Schizosaccharomyces pombe: one gene and its partners. Changing the gene in region 1 together with any one later gene gives a genetic interaction. Each region holds a gene or a part of one and is shown in the gene's direction. Other genes may lie near its edges. The genes, in order: mcl1, fft3, rad1 and hhf1.

Region 1 (5,829 bases):
TCTCTTTGACGAAGGAGAGCAATATTCGCCAACTGCTTTTCCTCAATTTTTCCCTTATCTTTTATGATACGCAGTAAACGAATAGCTCTTTCCCCAAATTTTTGTTCTATAAAATTTTCATATTCTATGGCTCGCAGCATGTCGGTTAAATGGGTAAAATTGACCGCCCATTCACCCATTCCTCGATTGCCTATTTTTGAAATAAATTTTAATGAGCAATCTGCCAAAAGCTCCAGGTGTTGAGCCAGCACCTTGCTCTTGCGATTTGCGTTTTCATCAACACTTTCTTCATAATTATCTTCCTCAGCAAGTTCATCTAGTTCATTCAACTTTTCCATGACACGCAATTCGTTAGAGGCAGAATTTACGCTATACTGTTTATCGACAATCGAACTCTCAACGTCGATATCATTCGGAAAGTTTCTCGTAAGCTCCATTGTCGTGAGTGTAAAGACCGGAGATTGATTGGAAATACTAAATAATCTGGGTTCCAACATAGAAAGAACGTGAGAATAGACAAGCGAAGTTGATTTACCAATTCTTCTTTCCACCCAATGGGTAAGCCTGGCATTTTTTGAGAGGACAGAAAGTTTTCCTGAATTTATGCGAACATGCGCGGATAGATCAGGTACAAGGATGCTATTATCATCGTCTAATATATTATTCAAATCCGTTGATACAGACGGAGCAGAGCCAACAGCACGTTTCCTTCTTTTTGTTGGATGTGGTATTGATTCCTTTGGCTTCCTGGTAAGTCCTTGTAGTTCTGACATATCTGCTGCACGAAGCTCTAACATTTCCAAGGCGACAGAATCATCAACCTCTCTATTTTTTTTTATTTCAGACACGTTTTCTGACTTTCTGCGATCTAAGTGCTTGATCCGGAGTTGCATTTCCTGATCTCCTACTGGTATTAAATGTCTCGGTTGCACTACTAGCAAAAACTTTTGGTAAATCAATTCCGTTAGATTTTTCTGCATCATACGGCTTTCTTCATCACTCCCATCAACCTTTTTATCGAAAGCATTGAATACTTCGAGTACACGTGCACGTCCTTGGGTACTAAGATATTTTACCACAGAGGCAGCCTCCTGGTTTAATTTTTGAGATATCAAATATACATCTTTACCTTTGCGAAGAATGTTATAAATTTCCTTCCATTGGGTCTCATAATATGTGACTTCACGTACATTTTCAATGACCGTAACGTACAAAACCATATGATGCTGCATTAAACTGACAAGTGCTTGTCGAATTTTTGGTCCTGGCAACGAAGTCCGTTTTTGTAGCATGGGAATCGTTAAACGACCATGCCTCAAAAGTGCACTAGCTACTGCCTAAATTGACAATAAATTGGTTAATACAAAAGACTTTGCAACCTCAACTTCAGATTTAGAAATACAATTGAATCCTTACCGAGCAACAATCACCGAAAAATTCCTCTACGAGAATCTCACACAGTTCTACAGCATACTGTGACATGATCAAGCAGATTACCAATCTTGCTTGGAATGGTAAATTGTTTGGCAGACGTAACTACAAAAAAGCAAAGATTTCACAACCTAGAGTATGCCAATAGCCTGTATTTTGTGCGTCGTTAAAGCAGCGTTAACATTTATAGTGTATCACTCTAATACAGAATAAAACTTTAACGATGTGCAAAAACGATTTTCATATTACTTTTTGAAAAAATACATACATATAATTACTGCGAGTATTAAATGAATGATCGAAATCTAATTGTATGATTAATTTATTTAACTTCTTTTTAATTTTCCTGTGAGAGGCTCCACTAGGTTTCTCAATTCCATTTCCATGTCGTTGATTTTTTGTGGTTTAATCAAGCATGACTTATCTGCAGATTCTGTTTTATAGCTTGTCATGGTAAGCATTAATTAAAATACTAAAAGACAATAGCTAATTGCATATTTTTCCTCCATTTAGAATATTGCTGTGCGGCTGTTTGAACATTTATAGCAGACATTTCAAAACTTTTTAACAGAACTGCTCTAATGGAACATCAAATACAACTTCAGAGTAATTAAAAAAAGCTCTGAAATGATTAAAGTTAAATTATTCCTATAGTCTCACATATAAGTTACTTTAGTATTAATTTCTAATTGTTAGCAGATGATTAAAAGCATGGATTGCATATTTTCAATCGTACTTGCATATGAAAATAAATTGTAGACAAACATTTGCAATTTCTCAATAGTGCTTTCGTGGTAGATTTTTTATTTAAATGTTTGTTTACATTAAATAGCGTAACTAGCTAACGAAAGTATCGCTATTGCCATACTAGTCCCAATCTCATATACAAACTCTTCCTCTAGCTATTATGGCAGGGAATAGGCTAGTTCCTAGATATGCCCATACAGATGGACTGACGCGTCTAGCGTATACTCGTGATGGGAAATTTCTTCTTACGGTCGGTTCTAATCAAGTAATCCGAAAATTTCAGGTTGGTTCTGATGAGGAACCCGACTCCATTGATAATCATCAAGATCCTATAACAGGAATTGCAGTTGCTGTAAGTGGTCCTCAAAAAAGTTTGGAGCTAATGACTTTTATATAGGAAAATTATTTTTGTACTTGTTCAGAAGATGCAACTGTCTGCGTATATCCCATCGATTCTCCTACCGAGCATACATTGCTGGCGCGTACTACTCTTCCTATTCGCGATGTGGCATATTCAGTAGATGGAAATTGGATTGCCATAGCTAGTGAGTAAGTTTTTTTTAGTGTATAATGCTCTACTTGGTCGTTTTCAGCCTAACAAATATAGTGAAACAGCAGTGAAAGTGGTTTCGTCCACTGATTCTTCACAAATTTTCTCTCTTCGTCCAGCTAAGGCTTCGAATAAACATGTAACTTATAGCCCGAACGGAAATTTTTTAGCAGTTTCCAGTTGCAATGGAATTTTGTATTTTTATGACACCCAAACTCGTGAACTCATCAAGTTCTTAACAAACACTATTGCCTCTTTAGAGGCAGAATCAGAAATTTGCTCAAAGGCGGCTTGGCATCCTAAAAACGGGACATTTGCAGTTGCGAGTACCGACCATTTTGTATCAGTTATTTCCCCTGATGACTGGCTTCCATTGTACAAACTTCTTCCAAAAGAGAATCATTCTGGTGTAACAGATATCTCCTGGTCCAGTAATGGAATGTACATAGCTGCTTCATTTAAAAAAGGAGGCATTTTAATTTGGGATACACAAAGTCATGAAGTAGTCGTTGAGCTCCCCTATAGTACAGTGGTGGCACTCGCCTGGCAGCCATTTGAAAACGTGTTATCATTTACTACAAATCAGGGAATTTTGTATTCATGTCCGGATGTCATTCCTAAATCAATATTGAAGGAAGAAAATGATCCTACGAAGCCTTTGACTTCGTCAAAAAGTAAAAACCGTACTTCCAAAGAGCTTGATGATCTTTTTGGTTCTGACGATGAGCAAAGTCAGAACGTCAATGATTTGGATGGGAACTCTGCCAACGAGGAAAATGAGTTTATCAATCATGATGGATTGGATTCATCTTTGGACCTAGATGGTGATAGTTATATGGTTGATGAAAACGACTTAAACCTTGCAAAGAAAAGAAAGCAGAAGGCGTTGATCGACAGAACTACAACAATAGAGAATGGTTCTAGTAAAAGACGTTTACTGCAAGCCTCAATACATAAACCCGTTCATACTGGAAGTACACCATGGCAGGGTAATAGAAGATATCTATGTTTGAACTTGGTAGGGTTTATCTGGACTGTACAGCAAGATGCAGAACACAACACTATAACGGTTGAATTTCATGATGAAACTACTCATAGAAAATATCACTTTGTTGATGACCAAAAATTTGAAATGGCATGCTTAGATCATGAAGGTGCTTTGTATGCTTCGCCTGCAACGGAAAGTTCACCTGGTGTTATTTATTATAAAGCACATGTTGATTGGTCGCGTAAATCTGAATGGGCAATGGCTTTACCCATGGAGAATGAAAGTCCTGTGACAATTTCATTAAGCTCAAGCGTTGTACTGGTATGTACGAGTGCTGGATATGTTCGCGTATTCTCAAGACAAGGCTTTCCAATTAGCATTCACAGGAGTAAACACTTGCCATTTGTAGCTTGTTCATCTTTTCAGGATACGATTATAACCATCGCCAACGATGGTTTGAGCTCTGATGGAAATTCTCGTCTTGTTTATTCCATTGAAGACATTTCTCGTGATGAAATGTTGCAAACTGGTGATGGGGTTGCATTACCACCCCAAGGAACGTTAGAGAGTGTTTTCTTTTCGGATGTTGGAGATCCTTACATCTACGATTCAACTGGGGTATTGTTGGTATTAATGCATTGGCGCATACCAGGACAAGCCAAGTGGATCCCTGTTTTAGATACAAATGAATTGGAGCGTCGCAAATCACGGCAAGAGTCTTATTGGCCTGTAACTGTTGCCGATAATCAGTTTCACTGTATATTGCTAAAAGGAGCCTCTCGATATCCCTATTTCCCTCGTCCGATGTTTACAGAATTTGACTTTCGTATTCCTTGTAATACGAACAATCCGGATGCTTCTACATCTGTTCCTGTTTTAGAAGAACTACAACTCCGTAATAAACTATTTTTGACTTTATTGGAAGATAGCATAGGAGATGGCGATGTTACGGAGGACGAAAAAATAAGCATTGCTAGACTAGAAGCTAACATTGACAAAGCCTTGTTGCAACTTATTCAAAAGGCTTGTCTCGAGGAAAGAATCGAACGTGTCTATGAATTGACAAAAACTTTGAGAAGGACAACAAGTATTGCTGCTGCTCAAAAGATTGCGCTCCACCATTCCCTTACAAATGTTGCTGAAAAAATTGGTAATCTACTATCTAACGTCTAAACCCTCACGTCTTAATTTTTATGTAACATTATTTTTTGCATATTAGTAGCTTGAGCTAATCAAAAGGGGTTTGAAGCAAAGCTATGCAGAAGTTTTGTCACGATCTTGCTCCTTTCTAAATTCATTTATATAAGCATCTAGCACTTTGATTTTTTTCTCATTTTTGTATTTAATAAACACATTTCATTTTGTTTACCATATAACCTCTATGTTTATATGTCAGTATATTCGGCATATATTTCGAGTCTATTTAGAAATTGCACAGGGGTACAAAAAATTGATTCATAAGAAAAGGTGGAAACATTTTTTAAAATGACAAAGAGTCACAAAGGAATTTGTATTCTTTTCCTTTCTGAAATGAAATAAAATCTAATGTAGAAACTGCAAAGCTCAGTGCCTTAGGGTGCGTTACAGTTCGTAAAGTTGCAGACACTAAGTGCAGTACAACTTTGTAAAGTGCCAAGCTGCAAACGAAAACACAATTTTAGCATGGAACAAAAAGTGAGTGCGGATGTGTTATTGAATAAATATCAAACATCCATAAGCATCACAAAAAACTTAATCAATTCGTGGTTGGGAAACGAAAATACATCTGTCAGTAGCGATGAAAAAAATGACGATCCACCGTTACAAGCTAGGCCGCCACGGTTAGGGTTGGGTGCTAGTAGAAAAGACCAGTCAGAAAACAGCTGGGTTACTTCCAAAAATGAGAAATTGAAAAGCCTGCCACCGGCATTAAAGAAGAAGATTGAAAGACAGTTGCAGAAGAAGAAGGAAGCTGAAAAAATTGAAGGCGGCAAAAACCACGACAATTTAAAGCGAAAATTGAATAAAGTAGGCGATGAATTGAACGAGCAACAGTCTGATACTGATGATGATGATGATGATTCAAAGGCTCGCATTACTAGCCGATCGAAAAGAGCTAACGCCCAAAGTTCTG
Region 2 (6,484 bases), 1.2 Mb from region 1:
TATAAAAATGTCCTGTTTCATTGTCACTATGAGATAAGTCGGATTTCGAATTGCCCATTGATAATTTTGAAAGTCTATACGCAAGAGATGAATCTATGGAGTCAGGGTTAAACTCTGATCCCATTTGAGCAGATTTTTGAGTGCAACCCTGAGTGTTAAGCACTAAATCCCTTTGCCAGTGAAGTTGATACATATCCAAAACCCTTGTTATCAGCTTCTTTTGATACTCATGCAATTTATTTTGAAGTAGCTCAGAACGGCGATAAGCTGTAAGGTATTCCTTAGAGAAATAGTCACTCGTTGAATGTGATAAGCCAGCTAACTTTTGACTCGCGATATTAATTGATTTTTTGCGATTAGACAAGTCATCTTCTATAAGCTGTTTGCGGGAATGCAAGTCACACGATAACGATTTCTTTTCGTTTAGAGAGGCAGCAAGGTTCTGTAGTCGATAAGTTAATTCCTCTTTTTGGGTAATCTTTCCTTTTAGAGAGAAACTTTCTGATTTCAATTTAGCAACCTTTTCAAGCTCTGACTCAATATCTCGAGAGAATTCATCACGTTTATGATAAAAATCATAAAGCTGCTTTTTTAAACAGCTTTCGCAAATAGAAGGACGTCTTGTTTCGCATAATTGGCATTTATTGACATGCAGCATACAAACACACCTTCAGTTTAGATCCAACAATGCCTTCAAGTGGTACGCAAATTTCAATTATAGCACAGCAATAAGAAAACTTAAAAACCCAGCAGGATATTAATTTCCTACTACGTTAACTGTCAACTTGTATACAATATAGGTGTTGTTAAAATAATGAAGCAAAAACAAAGAAGAAAAAGGGAAAAAAAATAAACAGCGCAGGTTTTTAAACAATTATTCTTAGAAACGAAGGGCCTCCTAACGGACAAATTCAAAAATATTAATTTAAAAGTGAAACTGCATTCCTGGCTGTTCTTGCAGAATTGAACAACCAATGCGATATTTTTGACAGAAAAAACGACAAATATTAAGAAAAAATTATATTATACGAATTCAATGCAATGAGTAGATGGACTTCTATTTCTTCAAATCCCCGAAGTAGCTACTTAGCAGTTGATGTTCGTATTGATTACTACAATCGTATGCAAATAGTTACTTTATAAAGCGTTTAAAAATATTTCCTTAAAGTAGCCTGTTACTCGACACTCAAATTTTTGCTAAATAACTTTGAGTGATGAGCAAGGTGTTTTACAAAACTATTTTATCTAAATAAATAGGTTAATAAAATATTAACTAAATAATATAATCCTAGAACCCAAACCATCCTCTTTTAACATTAGCTTTTGCAGTATCACCTAGAAAACATAACGTGGTACGCTGCCATAATATAACGAAACACTATTTGTTGTCATATTTCTTAAGGTTCAGTGACAAAAGATCTCTAGTATCTGCAGTTATGTTTAATGATTTTATTAAAACTATAAAAGAATAAAGACAATTTCGCCACGGTATCTTTTGCTAAATGTTTAGTAATATAAAGAGCAAGTTGCCATCATGATATAGCTTTACCATAAACTACGTTACAACGTTTAAGGCATTATTTAGCATCAGTATTTGGGACCACTACCACCATATCACGCCCCCGTGCCACATCAAGAACAAACTACCAGCATAGTGTGCTCTTGAATTATACCGAATAATTCCATAATACAAAAGAAGGTATTGGGTGACTGGAGTCTTTTTCTTTAACAATCCGATTCATTGAGTGTTATTATTTTAATTTTGGTAATTTTCTTTTTCTTTTTTTAAACAAAGATTGTTTTTGGATAGCCAAAGTATAAGTCGTTTTTGGTGATCTTTAATTGCGAGTATTTGTTTATTGCTAGAGCTTACCAAGTTTGCTTCATCTTAAACATCAGGAAAATTTTAAATTTATATTTTAAAATTTTTTTGTCTACTTTTCATTTACATTTTATTTTTCTTCATTAAATTCTGCATATCATCTCGAAACAACGCTTATGTATTAGAAGAAGGTGGTCTATCCTAATTAACTCATACACATCTCGTAACTAAAGGAATTGTTTCTTGTTTTAGAAATTGCAATAAGTTTTGGCCCTCAAAATTTTTTGTAATCTGCTGTTCCCATATTAAGTTTTCAACTATTTGAGTTACCAAGAAACGCGTGAAACAAGAAATCTGTATTGTTTTGTCGTTATTTCTTCCATTTTAATTAATCTTAGGAGAATTTAAAAAGTTTCAATCTTTTTGCATCTATTCTCGGCGCTCTTAATTCGTGTGATAAAATTATTCATAATATACACGTGACCTTACATATTTTTTCTCCAAATCCTATATTTTAGATTCAATTTTCTTTTGCCATTTGCTTGGATACATTGATTGTTACTTAATTATGGATGGAAAAAGAAAAATAGAGCATACCGCTGATGGCACGCATTACGACGCGACTTCCAACGTGAAGCGCAAGCCAATTTTCCCCCCTTTCATTGCTGATTCGCTTTCAGAAGCTACCGAAAAAGCTAATGTTATGGGGGGTGGTATGAATTCGCGACTTCAGATTCTTTCAGAGATGTCTAAACGAGTTCAGGCTACTGCACCCATTTCAAGTTTAGAACATTTCAAGCAGTTGAGTGATATTTCTCCCTCATTTACTTCCTCTGCTAACTCCATAAATCAACCATATAATTATTCCGGTTCGTTAGAAAATCTTGTTCCTACACCTTCTGCTGGCACTCCTTCGCAATTTATGGATGCCCAAAATCCATACGGCGCTGTTTACAATGCTTTATCTCAATTCTCTGAGACAGAGCCCAAAATGCCCTCTTACATGGATGACGAAGAAGCAAGCGATTCTTTACCTCTTTCATTATCGTCTCAATCACTGAGTTCACAGGTTACAAATCAAAAGCCAGCCCCACATCGTCTTACAATGAGAGAACGATATGCTGCTAATAATCTTACTAACGGACTTCAATTTACCTTGCCATTGTCATCTCGAAAGACTTATGAGCCTGAAGCTGACGATGACAGCAATGATGATATGTACTCTGATGATGATTCAAATGCAGATCGCTGGGCATCTCGTATAGATACTGCTGCTCTAAAGGAGGAAGTTCTTAAATATATGAATCGTTGTTCAACACAGGATTTGGCTGACATGACAGGTTGTACGCTTGCTGAAGCTGAATTTATGGTTGCCAAAAGACCTTTTCCAGATCTTGAATCTGCTTTGGTCGTTAAGCAACCTCGTCCGGTGATTCCCAAAGGTAGACGAGGTAGACGTGAAAAAACTCCTCTTGGACCACGTTTAGTTGGTATATGTATGGAAATTATGCGTGGTTATTTCGTAGTGGATGCGCTTATTCGTCAGTGTGAGCAGCTAGGTGGTAAAATTCAGCGCGGCATTGAAGCGTGGGGCTTGTCAAACACTGCTACATCTGATGAAGGTGAAACTTCTCTTGTCAACTTTGATCAAATGAAAAGTTTCGGTACGCCTGCAAATTCCTCGTTTATCACTACACCTCCTGCATCTTTTTCGCCCGATATCAAACTACAGGATTATCAGATCATTGGGATTAATTGGCTTTACCTTTTGTACGAGCTCAAACTGGCTGGTATCCTGGCTGATGAAATGGGGCTCGGTAAAACTTGTCAAACCATCGCTTTTTTCTCATTACTCATGGATAAAAATATTAACGGGCCACATTTGGTAATTGCACCTGCTTCAACGATGGAGAATTGGTTACGTGAATTTGCCAAGTTCTGTCCCAAGCTAAAAATTGAACTTTATTATGGATCGCAAGTCGAACGTGAAGAAATTCGTGAACGTATCAACTCTAATAAAGATTCTTATAACGTTATGTTAACCACCTACCGTTTAGCCGCTACTAGTAAGGCTGATCGTTTGTTTTTGCGCAACCAAAAGTTCAATGTTTGTGTATATGACGAAGGTCATTACTTGAAAAACCGTGCGTCTGAGAGATATCGTCATTTGATGAGTATTCCTGCCGACTTTCGAGTTTTGCTAACTGGTACACCGCTACAGAATAATCTTAAAGAATTAATTTCGCTTTTAGCGTTCATTCTTCCTCATGTATTTGATTATGGTTTGAAAAGTTTAGATGTCATTTTTACTATGAAAAAATCCCCAGAAAGCGACTTTGAACGAGCATTGCTTTCAGAACAGCGAGTATCGAGAGCCAAAATGATGATGGCCCCATTTGTCCTTCGCCGTAAAAAGAGCCAGGTGTTAGATGCTTTGCCGAAGAAAACGCGTATTATAGAATTTTGCGAATTTTCCGAAGAGGAACGTCGCCGTTATGATGACTTCGCTAGCAAACAAAGTGTAAATTCTTTATTGGATGAAAATGTCATGAAAACTAATTTAGATACGAATGCAAATCTTGCAAAGAAGAAAAGCACAGCTGGTTTTGTGCTTGTACAGCTTCGTAAGCTTGCGGATCACCCTATGTTGTTTCGAATTCATTATAAAGATGATATCCTTCGACAAATGGCGAAAGCTATTATGAATGAACCCCAATACAAAAAGGCAAACGAACTTTATATATTTGAAGACATGCAGTACATGTCAGATATTGAGCTACATAATTTGTGTTGCAAATTTCCGTCTATCAATTCATTCCAACTTAAAGATGAACCTTGGATGGACGCCACAAAGGTCAGAAAACTTAAAAAACTGCTCACTAATGCTGTTGAAAATGGCGACAGAGTTGTATTATTTAGTCAGTTTACACAGGTTTTGGACATTCTTCAACTTGTCATGAAATCATTAAATCTAAAGTTTTTAAGATTTGATGGTTCTACACAAGTCGATTTCCGCCAGGATCTCATCGATCAATTTTATGCTGATGAAAGCATTAATGTATTTCTTCTTTCTACCAAAGCCGGCGGTTTTGGTATCAATCTTGCGTGTGCTAATATGGTTATTCTTTATGATGTCTCTTTCAATCCATTCGATGACCTTCAGGCGGAAGATAGAGCACATAGAGTTGGCCAAAAGAAAGAAGTTACAGTTTATAAATTTGTTGTCAAGGATACCATCGAAGAGCACATTCAACGTTTAGCCAACGCTAAAATTGCTTTGGATGCGACTCTTTCCGGCAATGCCGAAACTGTGGAGGCTGAAGATGACGATGATTAGTTTATACAGGGTTTTTTATGCATTAGTTTTAAAATAGTCAAATTGATTAGGTTTCTACTTTATTCGAGTAAACCTTTCTCTTTATTTTCAATTGTATTATCTGTATTTGTGTTTTGCACGTTATAAGTCGATCCCGTTTCACTAAATCAGATTAAAAGATTTGATTTGTAAAAGTAAATTCTATTTATTGAATGATACAAATTCAGTACTTCTTCAACCTAATATGAAAGCTTTTAGCTTCTTGACACCATTTATATACCACGCCAAAAACGCGTCGTGAAAATGGTCAGTCTTTTTTGAAGATAATACAGCAAATAAGCGATTCTTATTATCCAAAGTCGTTCTAAAACTTGCAAAACAAAAGTTGACAGAGGAAAGCACTTCACCTAGTAAGTTTATGAAATCATATTATTACATTTTATTTCTCAACTTCGAATAATAGTAATCGAATAAATAATGAATTTTGTTCAATTTTAATACTACAAAGAGTGTTAAATGCTGAATCTTTATATGTGGAAGCTAAGTCGCTCTCAAGTTTATCAAGCTTCATTATTATTTGGAAGCAGAGTAATTAGTGCTCTTGCATTTACAAATACCGGTCTAGTTTTGCATGGCCCAAGAAGATGGTATACTACTGATAATGGATTTTTGTTGCACCGCGATTCTAAGGTTTCGTTAGCCGATTATATTCATGAATCTACGTTTGATCCCAGCAAGGGTTACTATTCTCGACTTTGGACAGGCTCAACCAATAATTTGAGCCATTCTGTACATGTATTAAGGAAAGAAGGGCATAAATGTTCCAAAGAATTTGATCCTTTTTTGCATGGAATACCTATTCCTCAAAAGGCATTAAACATCTATGAAAAGCAAAGGTCTCTATTCTCTGAGTCCATTAGTAACTACTTGGTGTTGCAGTATAAACTTCGATATTTCCCGGTGTTTGATTTGAAAATATATGATTTTCATTCTGGGACTGGAATAATAGCATTGGATATTCTTGATTATCTTTATAAAAATCACCTTGAAGTTTATGGACGTACTACATACAATATAGTCTTGCATAATTCTTGGCAAGCAAGCTGGTTTAAGAGCATGTTGACATCTGTGAGATATGCAAAGCATGGAGATCATATTGATATATATGTTAGTGATCCATTAACGTGGAACCATACTGATACAAATCCTTGCTTTGTATTGGCATTACAGGTAATTAGCTCCTTCGGTCATGATTTATTTCGTCAGAGTAACGGCGCCATGATGATGGAACGGTGCTGGCTTGGTCCAGAGCACTTTTTAAACGAATTCTTCACTCTAAATACTCA
Region 3 (4,598 bases), 1.7 Mb from region 1:
TTCTTGAACCAGACTACATAAGCAATCAAACACGTTTTCCATCATTTCTTCTTCTGATCCTTGGGTTGGATCACGAAGCCTATAAGGACTGATCCGGCGCAACAAAAGATCAATCCCATTCAAGTTGCACACTTTCAATTTAGCTTCTTTTGAATTAGCGAGAATGATAGCTAAAATTTCAACAGCGTACTGCAAATTAGTTGATATAGAAGTTTCATCAACAGACGATCTACTCAGTAACCATTCTACCAATGTTGTGTTTTCAACTATTATTGAACAAATGCTATTGTCCACAGATAATAAATTCTCCATAAGAGAGAGCACACAATATACTCCATGTCGGTCTTCCTCATTAGATTCGTCAAACCTTTTGATTGTATTTGAAAGCAAAGGAAGCAAACCAGAATCTATAAGGGAAGTAAATAAGGAGTTTAATGCGTCTGGGTCAACATCCTCGTCAGTCAGTTCTATCAATAGCTCCAATACCGTAATAGTAATATCCGCATTTTCATGGTTCATTAATTCTAAAAACGTGGAAACACAATCTAATTTAAGGAAAATGGGTATGAGGATAGGATACTCTGAAAGCACATTGAAGCTTCGAATTTCCAGATCAAGATCTGCCTCTGATTCTATAAACCTTTGAGGAGAAGTAGAATACTTGATGCGTAACTCCTGATTATTATTAATTGTTTTTTCAAGTCGTACTACCATGCGCTTCAATTCAGTAGGAGTCAATGAAGCAGGTTCTTCCTGGGCTTCCTGTTCGTCTAAAAAGTCTAAAACGGTTTTTTCACTCTTTTTAAGCCCACTTCCAAAAAATCTACCTCCTTCCTCGTCAAATTCTTCATTCTCCTCATCGCTATTCTCTTCAGCGAGTCTTCTGCGACTACTAGCTGGCTCCAAAGAGTCTGCTTCCTCAGGGTTCCTTTTCTTATTTGTTTCCTCGGTATTTTTAAAAATTGAATCTACATCCATTTAGAATAATGTATTTTTTATGCGCCAGTTTCCTTTTCAAATTGAATATATGAAAACCGTCTGATACAAAATAAATAATTTTGACAAACTTATATTTTATAGCCGCATCAAGTAAAATAAAAGCCTTATGAAAAGACTATCGTGCAATTCAATTATAACGCCTGACTCGTTCCTAAAATTCCTCTCGTTTACCAGTTCAAGTAAAAGCTAGGTAAGATGTAGGCATGTACAAAGTGTATCAAAAGTGAAAACCAGAATCTAAGCTTGGAAAAAAATAATAACAGCAAGTAAATTCCCCTCTGTTTTATAAATATTATACAACTCTTATATCCAAGAAAGGAGAGATTGGAAGAAGGATAAAAAGTGTTTATTTAAGAGAAGAGAAGCTAAATAAAGTGCATGCAGTTAACTCGAAATTTTTTAGGTTGATTAAATAAGGAAGAAATTAGATCCATCTTGTATTACCTTTCTTTTAATTGTAGCAATGACTTTTCAAAAGAGGGTGTAAAAATGACATCCTAACTGTATATATGATAAAATTACAATTATGGATTTTCTAAAGCAATTTAAATTTAGCTATTATCACTAAAACAGTTCGGCAATTTGCAATATTTGTCTAATAAATGAACCATTTGTTTCATAAACAATCAAATTCATTAAGCTACAAATCCTTAATTGTATCTTTAGTTTTGAGTCAATCAACTTACTGGGATCCTATAGCTTTTTTGAATATCATTTGGTAAATTCAAATATGGCTCTTAAAACTTGTATTTAATTTGATAAAATTTCTGTGTCGAGAGATAAATAAATAAAGACAGTTAGAAGTAGATGCTATTCAATTAATAAATAAAATACTCGTCTATTAAGCTTTACGGCTTTCCAAAAATTTATATATCAGAATAAAATATTTCACAATTTTTTTTTTTTTAAAAAAGAAAAAGCAATCTCAATTTTCATTTCCTTTAGTAATCTGCATACCTTTTAAAATTGTGCACCTTTTCGAATTTTACTAAATAACTTCTAACTTGAACTGTCTTTCTTATTCTGCGTTTGGTCTTGTAATCAAGTGTCAAGTCCTTTAATATCAGAAGGAAAAATTATCAATTTATAAGATTAGCATTTACGGGTGTTCAAGTTGTAGCATATAACCAATTTTTTATTGTTGGACGTAAATTCGCATGTTTCAAGCAGAAACAGTATGCTTAAAGCAGATTCAGTCAACATTACGATGCATTGATTTTTCAAAGGAATGTACTATCGAAATCACAAGTCGTGGACTACGGTTTGCAGTGGAGGAATCGCAGTCTTTGCAGGGTAAGACAAGTCGAGTCTCACATCTATGATCGTTAAAAAATTTGAAGCTACTTAATAAAGTTTCATATATTAATGCGATTCTTGAAATGCATTCACTTTTTCTTTATTGTTCACTCACACATTAAGCTCACGCCTTTCTTGATAAGTCGTTGTTTCAAACGTTTAATTTTCAGGGTGATTCAGATGGGGATACATATATGTTCCAGACGATGATTTCACCTCTTTTACAATCATTATCAATTTATACAGATGGAAAAGAACGGATTTCAACTAGTGCCTGGGATCAACCCACTGTAAACATAATGCACAAACGAGGCGTTATCTGCAAAGTACAGTATAATGGACCCGGCTGTCCATTTATATGGGAGTAAGGATTTTATCATTAACATTCTGTACTGACAAAAATAAAGAGTAGAGGAAATGGCTGGTTATGCTACGGCTTGTGAACTGTTGACTATGGAATGTGAGGACGACGTTGACATCAATAGACTTGCAAGCACATTGTGCACGAAGATCATTATGAAAAGTAACTGGCTATATGATGCCTTGGTGGAATTAGACAATAACATGGGCGAAAATTTAATTATTCATACATCATCCCAAAAATCAACCTTCTTATTGAGATGTGTAGGGGCATTATCCACTACGGAAATAGAATATCCAAACGAGAAAAGTGTTTTAGAGTCTTTTGAAACTGATTCTGAAAACACTTATTCCTACCGCTTCTCATTAATAAGACATGCGCTGAAAGCATTACAAGTGGGTTCTAAAGTAAACCTACGTATTGATGAAAATGGAACTTTGAGCATTCAAATCATGCTTGTCGGTCAAGAAGGGCTTTGTACGTTTGTAGACTTTTGTATTGTTCCTTTGGACCTTGTAAGTGAAGATGAGGAGGAGGATGAAGAAGAAGAACCAGCAGAATCTAATCAGTCGGACAATAACGTTTTACGAAACGATCCGAATTATCGAGGAGATGCGGAGACCGAGGATGAGGATAGCTAAATGATAATTTTAGCACTCAGCACTTTAGTGTTTCCGATAACTTCAAAAAAAGAAAAAGGTACAATTGATACTGAACAACTTATGATAATACACTTATTCAACGAATCATGATTTATTTCCCTGCTTTTTGTTTGGTCTTATTTAGGTAGCTTAAAGTCACACCGTTTCCTCACTTTTTCTATGCTTATTTAACACACGTATAAACAAGACGCTTTCCACTAGGCTGTCTAGCAAAGCATGTAGCCAACAAAATTCCCATGTATCATACACACGATTATACATTATGGTTAGATCTACGAAGCATTCAAAAATTCTTCAAACATTATTGATTTTTAAAAAATAGAAAATGCAAAGTGACACTCATAAAACATTTGTTTACTCAAAATGGAGTCTCATCTCCTCTTGCATTCCATTTTTGGACGTTGTTGAGTCTCTGATCACAAATTCTCGCACTTTCCAACTTTATCTTGATAATTCTCATATCCTCACCCTCCACGTATTGTTTCGTATTACCCTTGTCATTAGTGTTTAAATGCTTTTCTCTAAAGAATTCCTCTTCTTTGCTATTCTTTGGAAGAACGGTAGCAAGGCCATTCAAGGTCACTGATGTATTCGAGAACTGAGCCTGATTCATTTTATAAAGTAAGGTGTACAATGAGGAGGCATCAGGATCTGTTTCTTGACGATTAGTGGTCCAGTCATGAACTAGTAATGATACTCGAGGATTCTAGTCATCATGTTAGAAAAAAGAAAATACCAATCAGGATCAAGGATAAGTTAAACTTTTAAATATGATACATACCGAACTGATGTTAAAATATTTTTTACTGTTTTCTCCTGTTGACAAAATAATGCAATCCTCCACTTCGTAAGGGGCAGCGCTTCCTGCAGGTAAATAGGTAAATGTCATCAAAGAAGAGTGAGGCTGATCATGAAAGCAAGTAGCTAGTTGAATATATTTGGATGAGGACAAGCATCTCTTGATTTGGCTGGGGAACTCATGAGATGAATCGACTTTTGAGGCCATATTTACTTTCAGGTTATTGTGGTGCGACAAAGATTATAATTTGCAGAATAAATACTGGTGAATGGAAACTATTGATCCAGACAAAACTGTACGATAATTTCTATACTTGATTATCCTTTCCTAAATTTTGGTGGTACTCCTCTCTGAGTAAGCAGGTTTGATACTAGGTTAATAGCAGAAATGCTGACTCACAACTCAACGTAATATAGAGGTATGTACTAAACAGCCAACTTACGAATTTTGCAGGGGAACTAAAGATTAATAATCTTCAAAG
Region 4 (3,981 bases), 1.4 Mb from region 1:
AGATAGAGGGATAAACTAACCAACAGAGCAACTTAACAGAAACTAATGATACAATTATGAATTTGCCCATATAACTGGAAAGCAGGTCTTTAAGTCTATTGATATTAATAATTCAGAAAGCTTTATGACAATAATGAATATGTAATCTAAATTTTTACTAATGATTTAACATTCTTTTTAACATCGAATTCATATCATAAAAAATTTAGAAAATGCTGATTATTCAGAAACAACCAAGCATTTTGCTAATAAAAGACGCTTGTTTCAACCATTTAATGTACTATGGCAATCTACGTCTGTTTAAACGATGAAAATTACCACTGTTTTACAAAATTAAAAGAAAGTCCTTCAATTTATACAAAAAATGAATTCCAAAAACGGTCAAGTTTACAAATATGGTACTGCAGTCATTTGAAAACTAAGCTTGAATTTTATGGAAAATAGCTATTTGTTGTAAAATATGAGAATAGTTATTATAATATTAGAATATTGTTATACTAATGTACCAATTTAACGGATGCATGATGAAGCTTGAAACTACTAGCAGTAAAACATTCAGCCAAAATCAAAAAAATATAGAATATGACTTTGTTAACTGTTTAAACGACTATATACAACGATAATTTATGTAAATCACTTTATAGCATTCTTCATTGTAAACAATACTACCACTCTAATAAAGTGTGCCTTCGAATTATGGGTCGAATATATTTGGCGGCTCGTGAATATTCTTGTTCAGTAATCCCAGTGTGAAAGGTACTAATGAATATACAGAAAACAAACAAAGAAACTTGTAAAAATGAGATAACATAGCACGCAATATTAGTCGGACCCATTATTTAGATGATTGAGTACTTAAAGTAAGTTCTTCTTGAATGAGCATTGATTGACATTGGTCTTTCAAAATTTCAAATTAATCAAAGCCCTCACATTCCGGATACAATACTAAATTGCTTTTAAACTTTCTGTTGCCCGATAAACACATCCCATCCTAGATTCTAAAATTATATACTAACTAAATTAACTCTGTGAGTATATGCTTAATTCTATATTTAAATTAAATGTTGCCAATAAATTACAAATATTTTGCTACTTCACGAAATGACAGGCAATCGCAATTACCAAATATAGCAGTCAGCAGCGCTTCCTTTTTATGTTAAGAATAATCATCCGAATAAATTTCAAGGCTTAATTATGAAGTCGCTAACAAAGGACTACTTTTACTCGTTCAACTATGCTTAAGAAAGCTCTAAATTTTTAAAAATAAGAATTAAAACGACCGTTAATTCTCTTATAAATGCAATTCCAGGTTCTAAAGAGAGGTTACATAACAAGCAGGAAAGAATGACTGATTATTTTTCACGAATTGTCTATTTTTTTTCGGCCGATAAGTTCATTACATGCTCGATTTGTCTTTGCAAAATATCTTTCCGCGATATATCAAAGCTATTAAGCTATTAAACAGTTCGTAAATACCTGAAAACAGTTTGTTCATATAAATATGTGCAATTCTTTATGCGAACCGCCATTAAACGATAAAGAATGCTGCGATAACAACCAAATCTCAATACCAAAAGTGTAAAGATTTTTAAAAAAAGCATTGTCTTCGTAGTTCTGTATTCTTTTATAAAACAAAAGACATAAATTTAACAGATACTTGAAATAAAAGAAATCATGTTTCAAATAAAGGTACTTGTTGTCATTAGTTTTCATTAATGTACATAATGTGTTATCTAAACTTGTCACTCTCAAGGCTGAATTCATTCGCATGAATTAACGACAAGTTTCTATAATTGAAGATAAATTCAAACAACCAAATTAACACATATCCGTTCCCATCAAAGTGAACGTTCATCTAGCTCTTGGTAATGTAGAACAAAAACAACAATTATTCACGAAGCCTGCTTTTCACTTATTGGTAGCAACATATCAAAGGGTGACAGTATAATACAGGCAAGCAGTCAATCAAAATTAATTTAGTCTCAATTACAATTGCCAAAAGTCCTGGAGAAAATTATGAGCGTTCGCCACGGAGACGACGAGCCAACTGCATATCCTTGGGTTGAATCGTAACACGTTTTCCGTGAATAGCACACAAGTTAGTGTCCTCAAATAGAGAGACAAGGTAGGCCTCAACAGCTTCTTGGAGAGCACCAATGGCAGAAGATTGGAAACGCAAGTCAGTCTTGAAATCTTGGGCGATTTCACGGACCAAACGTTGGAAAGGTAGCTTACGAATTAAAAGTTCAGTAGACTTTTGATAACGACGAATCTCACGAAGAGCGACAGTACCAGGACGATAACGATGAGGCTTCTTAACACCTCCGGTAGCGGGAGCGGCCTTACGAGCGGCCTTAGAGGCCAATTGCTTACGGGGTGCCTTACCACCGGTAGACTTACGAGCTGTTTGTTTAGTACGAGCCATTATATCAAGCTAGTAGAATGAATATCAAATAAAAAGACAATCGAGAAAAAAATAGCTGTTGTGCTACTTTTGCCAATTGTTGATCTTTAGAATTAATGGAAACGCAAGCGTACTGCAGATATTTGCTATATATATGTTTTGAATCCACCCGATCTCATCAAAAGCAGGGTTAGGGTTTTGATGCAGATTCAAAACAAATAGACAGCGTCGCCCCAACTTCCCTCTCTTCAGACAATCATTTCTTTTAATTGTTTTTGAATACGGATAAAATCCTTTGTCAATTTGCATTGACTTTTATCCTACCGTTAACATCTGTTGACATCTATAAATTCATTGTTCCTTTGTTAGTCAACGGAAAACCCCTTTATCTTTATTATACTTAAAGAATTACGCGTTTTTTTGCGTAGATTTTAATTTTTTCTACTTCTTAACATGTCTGGTCGTGGTAAAGGTGGTAAAGGTTTGGGAAAAGGTGGTGCTAAGCGTCACCGTAAAATTCTTCGTGACAACATTCAAGGTATTACTAAGCCTGCTATCCGTCGTCTTGCTCGTCGTGGTGGTGTGAAGCGTATTTCCGCTTTGGTTTATGAAGAGACTCGTGCTGTTCTCAAGCTCTTCTTAGAAAATGTTATTCGCGATGCCGTCACCTATACTGAGCATGCCAAGCGTAAGACTGTCACTTCTTTGGACGTTGTCTATTCTTTGAAGCGTCAAGGCCGTACCATTTATGGTTTCGGTGGTTAAACTCCTATTACATTGATTTTTTTCTCCTTGTTTGTATATCACTTTATTATTTACCACTTAATTCCTTTTTTACCCCTGTCTGCTATAAATGTTGTGCAATTGTTCGTGAAATTTGAATTATCTATCAATATAATTTTTGTGGATTATTACCTCTTTCTGCGACTTTCCCTTTTTCAGCAGTCTTATAAGTTCTGTTTTTAATTGGATTTGTTCTGCATATGTTTTTATGACTAGTTTCTTTTGTAGGTGATATTATTTTTTGCAAACAATGTCTTTGAATGTCACACTTTAATAAACTTAATTATCACGTTTCGCAAAATACTTCATTTTGTAGTCGAAAGTAGATACAAGTTGGTATGCAAAATGGTACAGTAATGTTTCCACTTCTACAAGATTATTTTTGTTGTTGTAAATTTACAGCGTTCATACATTTTGCGACTGCTTACTGATCATTGACATACCAAGCGTCAATTGGCTTCCTGATTCTACTAGCTGAAGTGCTAAAAAAAATTACTTCCTGTATTTTTATTCTACATTTGTATCAAAATAGATTTCAAAATACCTAACTAAATCGAAAATTTGAATTGTTGACTTACTCAATAACCTTTTGATAAACAGCATCAAATGGTGCTGTCATTCCAGTCCACAAATGAAAAGACGCAAGACCTTGACGAACTAAAGCTTCCAATCCGTTGCAACATTTCCATTCCAAGTCAGATGCAACAGCCATTAGAGGTGTATGCAAGGGCTTGTAAGCCATGTCAAGGAATACTCCACCATCGGCTTTGTTAGCAAGCAAAGCTTTAATAACA

The links.
Region 2: mutations in mcl1 (region 1) and fft3 together harm fitness more than expected from each alone (negative genetic interaction), as found in Schizosaccharomyces pombe (2 studies listed by BioGRID).
Region 3: mutations in mcl1 (region 1) and rad1 together harm fitness more than expected from each alone (negative genetic interaction), as found in Schizosaccharomyces pombe (3 studies listed by BioGRID, with this or other methods).
Region 4: mutations in mcl1 (region 1) and hhf1 together harm fitness more than expected from each alone (negative genetic interaction), as found in Schizosaccharomyces pombe (2 studies listed by BioGRID).

The regions. Positions count from the first base shown.
Region 1 is NC_003424.3:3,282,255-3,288,083, reverse strand, and holds mcl1 (DNA polymerase alpha accessory factor Mcl1), read left to right. Parts: upstream 1-2,331; 5' UTR 2,332-2,338; coding exon 2,339-2,530; exon of another isoform or gene 2,531-2,575; coding exon 2,576-2,727; exon of another isoform or gene 2,728-2,785; coding exon 2,786-4,889; 3' UTR 4,890-5,080; downstream 5,081-5,829. Other genes in the region: DNA-directed RNA polymerase III complex subunit Rpc82, read right to left, coding at 1-1,337, 1,417-1,482; SPOM_SPAPB1E7.01C (uncharacterized protein), read left to right, coding at 5,379-5,829. UniProt on the Schizosaccharomyces pombe protein: Has a role in regulating DNA replication complexes. Acts as a regulator of post DNA replication initiation. Associates with chromatin during G1 and S phases of mitosis. Required for the transcriptional repression of the outer repeats of the centromeric region.
Region 2 is NC_003424.3:2,096,956-2,103,439, reverse strand, and holds fft3 (protein Fft3), read left to right. Parts: upstream 1-1,634; 5' UTR 1,635-2,390; coding exon 2,391-5,159; 3' UTR 5,160-5,245; downstream 5,246-6,484. Other genes in the region: protein Atg14, read right to left, coding at 1-658; SPOM_SPAC25A8.03C (uncharacterized protein), read left to right, coding at 5,655-6,484. UniProt on the Schizosaccharomyces pombe protein: DNA helicase that possesses intrinsic ATP-dependent nucleosome-remodeling activity and is required for heterochromatin organization.
Region 3 is NC_003424.3:4,976,463-4,981,060, forward strand, and holds rad1 (checkpoint clamp complex protein Rad1), read left to right. Parts: upstream 1-2,115; 5' UTR 2,116-2,156; coding exon 2,157-2,292; exon of another isoform or gene 2,293-2,418; coding exon 2,419-2,659; exon of another isoform or gene 2,660-2,702; coding exon 2,703-3,297; 3' UTR 3,298-3,676; downstream 3,677-4,598. Other genes in the region: SPOM_SPAC1952.06C (uncharacterized protein), read right to left, coding at 1-978; SPOM_SPAC1952.08C (pyridoxamine 5'-phosphate oxidase), read right to left, coding at 3,677-4,024, 4,100-4,324. UniProt on the Schizosaccharomyces pombe protein: Recombinational reparation of DNA damages induced by UV and gamma radiation.
Region 4 is NC_003424.3:4,698,273-4,702,253, reverse strand, and holds hhf1 (histone H4 h4.1), read left to right. Parts: upstream 1-2,654; 5' UTR 2,655-2,857; coding exon 2,858-3,169; 3' UTR 3,170-3,481; downstream 3,482-3,981. Other genes in the region: hht1 (histone H3 h3.1), read right to left, coding at 2,015-2,425; multifunctional aromatic polypeptide Aro1, read right to left, coding at 3,762-3,981.